Drosophila melanogaster: one gene and its partner. The protein of the gene in region 1 interacts with the protein of each later gene in a biochemical or structural test. Each region holds a gene or a part of one and is shown on either strand. Other genes may lie near its edges.

What was found. Proteins that work in one complex are often made in the same cells at the same time.
Region 2: of the proteins of aPKC (region 1) and yrt, one has a biochemical effect on the other in vitro, tested with the Drosophila melanogaster proteins (one study listed by BioGRID).

The regions. Positions count from the first base shown.
Region 1 is NT_033778.4:14,956,782-14,960,537, forward strand, and holds the start of aPKC (atypical protein kinase C), read right to left. Parts: upstream 1,676-3,756; 5' UTR 1,463-1,675; intron 1-1,462. UniProt on the Drosophila melanogaster protein: Serine/threonine protein kinase which is required for apico-basal cell polarity in the germ line as well as in epithelial and neural precursor cells, for epithelial planar cell polarity and for cell proliferation.
Region 2 is NT_033777.3:13,433,192-13,436,947, reverse strand, and holds the start of yrt (yurt), read left to right. Parts: upstream 1-1,963; 5' UTR 1,964-2,675; coding exon 2,676-2,900; intron 2,901-3,493; coding exon 3,494-3,641; intron 3,642-3,706; coding exon 3,707-3,756.

The DNA of each region.
Region 1 (3,756 bases):
CCCAATGGCATCATTAAAATTTGCCCAACAATCATAATGGGGCCAGCTAGCAAGCGAACTGGGTACCGAATCTGCCAGAGGCTGCATAGGCAAACCTAAAATAAAAGAAAAGGAACACAGACCAAAAACAGAACCCCAGGGTACCCAAAAAAGCAGTGGAAATTTGCTGATTTAACTTTGGCAAAAGGAGACGCACACACACCTGGTTCGAGTGAAAGCCTTCGGGCCAAAAAGAAACGAACAAGTTTAAATGGCAGGGCGACAGCTTGGCCAGCAAAACGCTTTCCGCAAAGAATGAATAAAAAGAAATTGTTTCGCCCTGCAGCTTCTTACTAGCCCACTGACTCATATTATATACATATGTATATGTACATAAATATATATAGTATATGTGCATATATGCCTTACATATATGTATGTATGCATACGAAATGGATCCATCTCGTCTATATAGTATAGTCGGTTTGGGCCAAGTTTGGGCAACCAGACGGTCGCCGAGGTGCAAGAAGCGCTTGATGAAGTGCAAATGCCTGAGGTCAAGTTTAGGGTGGGGATTCTCGCACACCATCACACACTCGCACACACACACACACACTGCCTCATTTTGCGTCATATGTGTTTGCAAGTGTGTGTGAGTGTGCGAGTGTGTGTGGTTTTGTTTGCCAGTGTCTGGCGCACAGCAGCCAAAAAATTTGGGAAAAAAGTGAACAGCGTGATGCAGAAAAAGTGTAAGGGAACCCACAAAAATGGAAATCAATTCTTTGATTTTTTTATCGTGGTTGCTCCCCTTTGTCTAAGTGCAAAATGATAGAGGCATAGGAAATGGTATGTTTTTAAAGCGTTCTAGAACTTTAATTGTATTGCACTGAGGTATTTAAAATATAAAAGAAAAATGCTTAGTGTGTGGGATTTCACCTGCGTTTTTGTCTGCGTTTTGTTTTTTACGTTTTTATACTTTAAGAAAGTGAATAAAAGCAAGGATTTTATTAATAGAAACTAAAAAACCATATTTATATTCAATTTTTTTTTTAACAAGAATGAATTATTATTATTAATACTTTATAAAGGGGTAAATTATAATCTTTCAAAATATATTGATTTTGCGAGATACGGTCATAAATTCCATCACATCTCTGGGGTAACTCTTTCATAAAGTTTTTACTTCATTAGCAGCACTAAAAAACGTTCATTAAAGAAACATTCACAAAATTATGTTAATCATTCCACGTCCATTGCCTTTCCACCTCCCCATTTTCCGACCCCTTCTCTCAGCGGAAAATTGTATGGCAACTAATCAGAAATGTACGACAACTTCGGCAGAACAGTCAAAAAATATTGCACAGGGCCAATTGATTTTTTCCGCAAGATTTTCGTGACTTGCCGAAGAGCGAGTGGAAATGTTTAAGAAAATAATTATATGGAATTATGTTATTCACTGATTTGTACTCCTTTTCCGACATACAACTTCGATTTTTCCGCTTTCTTTTGTTAATTCACAGCGCAGAAACTCGATTTGCCGTTTAGCTGTGCAAAATCTTGTATATTTGTATACATATATATGTATATGTATATATATATCTATAATTATGTATTTGTTTGTAAGGCCCGGGGAGTTATATCTTCGAATCGAAATCCGCACGGCACTTCCACACAGGCGAGCGGCCAACGCGCGAGTGAAATGCCGATGCAGAGAAGTATGCTAGGGAAATTTTTCGGGGAGAATGTAGCGGAAAGCCATGGAGAAAGCTATTGAGAGCGAGTCTCGGCGAATGGAAAAAGTAAAGAGCAAGAGCGAAAAAAGAAACTAGATAATTTGAGAAAAAATGTTTTGTTCTTTTAGTAGTTTCTTAGTAGACGTTTTTAATGAATGACTATAAAAAAATTATTATTAAAAAAAATATTTTATAACAATTCATTTTAGGTAAGCTATTTTGCTATGACTGTCTCGAAAATGAAGAAATGAAAAATATAATTTTTAAAAACATTTTTTATTCCAACACGTAAACAGAGTAAGAGTAAAGTAAGAATTCTATAATCTGAAATTACAATTCCGGATCCGTTTCGATGGATGAAGGTGATCCAAATGATCCGGAACTGAGTGGGGCAGATGTTACTAAAATTCAGTCCTCGTCCAAGGATTGGAAAAAGAAAATTTCCCTTCCCCGCTCTTTCTAGCTCCAAACAGCCTGTCGTGGCCTTGTGAATATACTTCACTTTTGGAGAGAGAGCGAAAATAAAAGCCGCAGACCGGCGCTTTAGCATTGCCATCTTAGATTCAATGGATGGCAATACCTTTCTCTTTGGCTCAGCTGTTTTTTGTGGCATCTGGGGAAATGCTCTCTCGCTCTCTCTCTCTCTCTGTCCTTCCATCTATTCTCTGTTGGCCATCGCTGTCTCGCTCTTGGGTAATGGCATCTTGTGTATCGACCTTATGAGCTGCAAAAAAAGTTCTTCGGACCTGGACAAAAGTTTTTCATGTACATATGCGTATGTGTGTGAGTGTGTGCCGGACAGCGTTGCCATATTGCAGGCGCATAAATTATACCGTTAGCTTACAGATTCTAACTTTTTGTATTGCTTTGTTTTTGGGAGAGCTGCAGAGGTTTTTGCTGGGCGGAGATGAAGCCGGAAGGTGAAGCGAAGTTCTACGGAAACACACTTTCCAACATAAGAAAAAATTAAAAAAAAAAAACGAAACCAAAAAACAAGAGAAGCAACAACAGAGAAGTCAAAACACGGGCTTGTATAAATGCAAAACACACTCACCAACAGCCATTTACTAATCAACACAACAACAATAAGCACACAAACAGAAAACATGTGCGGCATACAAACACACAGACAGGACATCCTAACATATGCAGGAGTGCGTGTAACGGTAACGTAATACCTTGACAATGTCCCTCTCCCGTACGCACACACACACAGTCGCAGGAAAACAGACGCACACAGAATACTTTTAATACATTTTAAGCCGCATTTTTTCACACGTGGCCACATAACACAAGAATAAAAACAAGAAAGAATGAGACTGTCAAGTGTTGCGACAGAAAAGCTACCCACTACCAGGCAATTGAATATTTAAGTAGCATAATTTTTGGGATATGTCCTGAAAAATAGATGAATAAAGAACTTGGAGTACGCTTGTTTTTAACGAATACAGCATACCCCTTGAAAAGTACCGGGTATGCAACAACAACAACCAACATGTTGTCCTTACACACTGTTCTTTTTTGTCATTCGGAGATATGTATGTACATATGTGAAGATGTGGACTGGCCACAAAATATCAGGAAGCCTGCTCCCCAGAACAAAAACAAAGCCGCATAAAAAGGGTAGCGGAAACTGTAACACCCTCTCCATCAAAACCCCACACCAGCCACGAACTTTGTTTAGTGCGACTGGCAGTTATCATATCTGCTGGGCCGTTAGTTGGCTTTTTTCTTGTTTTACATATCGGTGTTCGGAAAAACAGAATGACCACAGGTATGAAATGGTTAAGGATATATGGATAACTCGGAAAAATTTGAATAAGAACTACACTTTGCAAGGGATATTAATACTCAATAAAATTAAATGGTAAAAACAATTTTGGGTACTAAGTATCAGTTTAAGTATCTTACCCAATAAAACTAAAATGTCCTACATTCGTAGCCAAGAAGAGTGTATTCCTTGTTTATTATGCTTTAACCTCAGGCCCTCGTTTTTTTAGTAATTTACTGTATAAAAGGGTTTTGTGTTTGTCATTCGCCAAAC
Region 2 (3,756 bases), on another chromosome or scaffold:
GTAAACAGAAGATAATTAGCATATGGACATTTAAACTACAATTTTCCCATTATTGTTCTTTTCAACAGGTCCGTTTGAGTATTTTCAATTTATCGAATTATTTCATTTAACACTTCGTTTATTTATGATATATCTACAAAAAGAATATATATTTTCTTGAACATTAAGGAGAATTTATCAGTTATAACTATACTAATTCTTAGGATTACTCTTAACATTTTAATAATACCTATTTAATTGTTTTTGAAAATTTGTTGGCACCTTCGGATATATTTGTTCGAGTGCATTGTGCGTTTTGGCTGCGTATATGTACATATGAATGTAACCCTTTGCAAACATGTCTATTTTGGTCAATGGCAATGGCAACGCAAGCCATTTGTTAATTGTTGCCACACCCCTGCGGCCGAGAAAATCGAGCCGGGACGGGACCTGAATCTGGGGATCTGGCATATGGGATCTGGGATCTGGATGCCATGGACAGAGAACTGAAGCCGGGGGTCCGGGGCCTTTGGCCGCCTGTCATAATTACGGAACTGGCTGCTCAAGTTGCCGCAGCTGGCACCTAAGACATTGGCCATGGCTAAAGACCTGCATCGTCGCCTGCCTAGTTATTAAATAGATGGATGAATGGATGGATGGATGGGCGATACGGGGCTGCTGGGCGATTCCGATTCCATCGATGCCCGACCACAGATCGGGTTTCAGGTATTAGTCAGTAATTAATCATCCGCCTTGTTATAACGGCCAATTGTGTAATTACAGCATATATGGATATCTAATGCGTTCGATAAAAATGTAAATGCGCATACATACATATATGTACCTACATATATCGTCCTCAATCGGGCGAATTGAGAATTAATGGCCAATAAGCGAAAATGAATCATGCAATTGGCGCCCAATGGCTTCAAGTTCTCGCAAAATGTTGTAAAGCCCTCGGCCCAAAAGCCGAACCTCTCGAGGGCCCACTAAAACCCCGATATAAACAGGGCCCGCAGCCAAGATGTTAAAACACCCACCCACCGCCAACTCTACACACACACACTCGCACACACACACACACATATATGTAGACCGGAAATCGCCGGCGATAAATCTCCCATTTACCTTTAAACTCGAAATACGACTACCAATGGGGATCGAGGGTGAATCGGAGGAAAATGGGTGCGGAAGTTGGGGAAGTTAGGGAAGTTGGGATGTGCGGGAGTGGACACTGTTACGTCCTTAAATCCACTAACAAATAAAGGAATAAATTGCCCATAAAAAGGATTTTGCAAATGCCGGCTGCAACTACGGAACCCACTTGTGTTTCCTATTTTACAGTTATTGTGCACTTCTTTCTAGTTTAGTTGCTTGTACTAAACTTAAAGAATTGCGCGACCGCAAATGCCAACAAGTTTTGTGCGATTCTTGTCCACAGGCAAAAGTCAAAATATTATGATCAAGTCTGTAGCTTCTCTTTTGATGCAAAATATGGCTGGAATTGTTTTTTACTGTGTCTACATAATTTCGATTTATATTCGTGCTTTCTTCTTCTGATTTATTTAATTATCCCATGTGTATTAGCTAATAAATATAACGTTGAACAATTTTGAATTGAAAGAATCACACTGTAGCAAAATACTTGATGAGTTTGGATAAATTTAATTAATTAGAATTTTCTGCACAACGTATAGAAAATTTGTTGAAATCAATCTTTACTTCCATTTGTTTAATTTTTGGAAATTATCATTTGTTGTAAGATCTTTTATAATATTTTCTATCAAAATACAGGTTACATGAAAAACCAAGTGGAAAATTAAGAAAGTAAAATTGAAATGGACGAATTAGCTGTTTTCTAGCCAAGCGGGGAGGTTCGTGTCTTAGCTCAACGAATATCGTGGCTCTGCACCTGATTTGAATTCGACGGTCACACAGAAATACCGAAAACCGACATGTACAATTTGTTGTGTACTTGGTATATTTGTCGTGACCACATCTGGTCACACTGCTCGCATAAGATCAACAACTACTGCGGCCATTCTTACATTCTACTCCTAAAAAAATTCCGAAAGTGCACTTAAATAGCCCAAAATAATAACAAAACATAATAGTGACCGGACGATGCAGCACCGCCAACAAAATAAAGTGTGAAAACAAGTGATTGAATACCCGGAAAGTCGCCTCGCGAAGCGGGAACTAACGTGTTTGGCTGGCCTGTTTTTTCTCTCTCCTCTTTTTCGCCAACCAAAAACCAGGCTAACAGTGATTTTTTCGCGGGGGAGGGGGTGCGACGAGCCAAAACCCGTAGTAAAGAAACCGCCCGAAAGGAGCGCCCACTTTGGCCAGCAACTTTAGCTCAGCTCCCCGAACCAAAAGTGAAGAAAAAAACAAAAAACTAAAAGGAAAACTTAAGTAAAACGGGGGCGTCTATCGCTTGCAAGTGTGTTGGTTAGTCAGTGTACGTGTGTGTTGGCCAGAACAAGTTGGCTGCGCGTGTGTGCGTGTGAGGGGTTTTTTGATGTCTGCGCTGTCTTTTTTCCCCAGCCGAGGTGAGCACACAGGTGAATTATCGGTGCATTCGGCTGCCTTGGCAACAATTCCATAAAAACAACACATAGAAAACAACAATAACGACCACCCGCAATATATAATACATACATACACACGTTTAAAACCAAACAAAATCCAGAAAAATGCTCCGTTTTCTAAGCCGTCGCAAGGTGCGCAACAACTATGTGGATAATTCGAGAGAGGGCGGCGGGGCAACTAGTTCCGCGGTGGGCGTGGCTGGGGGTGGTGGTGCCATCACCTCCGGCGGCAGCTCACAAATAAAGCCACAACGCATCGTGGTCAACAAGAACAAAATCGACTGCCGCGTCATTCTGCTGGACAACACTGACCTTTCCATCGAATTATCGGTGAGTACAGGAGGGCCCACATCGAATTACATTTGGCCCATTTTCGATTTTTTGGCTTTCACCCTTTAAACTGCTGCCGTTGGCAGTAATTTTCGGAAGGCAAACAAACAAGCGATTGGATCTTATAAGAGAATACCGTCAAGGTAGAGATAAAGATAGAGCTAAAGTGGTTGGTAGGGCGGCTCAGTATTACGTACTAAATAAATAATGTCTTAAATTTTACGAATCATCTTTAGCTCTATCCTTTATACGAATTTTAAATTTGAGCTCAGAAATATTATTTATATTAAGAAGTAAGTCAGGGTATTTATTGTCCATTAAATGCACTCTGCTAAGAGAAGTATTGAATTCTCAAAACAGCCCAAAACAATTGTGTAGCAAACGTTTTAACCATTTCATTTATTGGTCCACCCTAATGAAGACACTACCGCAGCTTGCATTGCCTCAGTCCGTGTGATAAAAATAAGCAAATTGCTGCTGATCAGCACATAATTTAACCCGCTAAGCGAACGTGATTAGTTCAGGGTCGCATTGATTTACACCTGCCCCCCGTCGGAAGCATTAATTTTCCACTTTGCTGTTTGCGATTGCAGAAAAAGGCATTGGGCAGCTTTTTGTACGAACAGGTATTCTACGCACTGGACATCATCGAGAAGGATTACTTTGGGCTGCAGTTCATGGATGCCAATCACGTCAAGCACTGGCTAGATCCCACCAAGCCCATCAAGAAGCAGGTCAAAAGTGAGTTAATGTGTGAAACCAATTACGTGGGCCAAACAATACTAATTATTTTACCTTTCCCGCAGTTGGGCCGCCCTACACGTTCCGGCTGAAGGTGAAGTTTTACTCTTCGGAA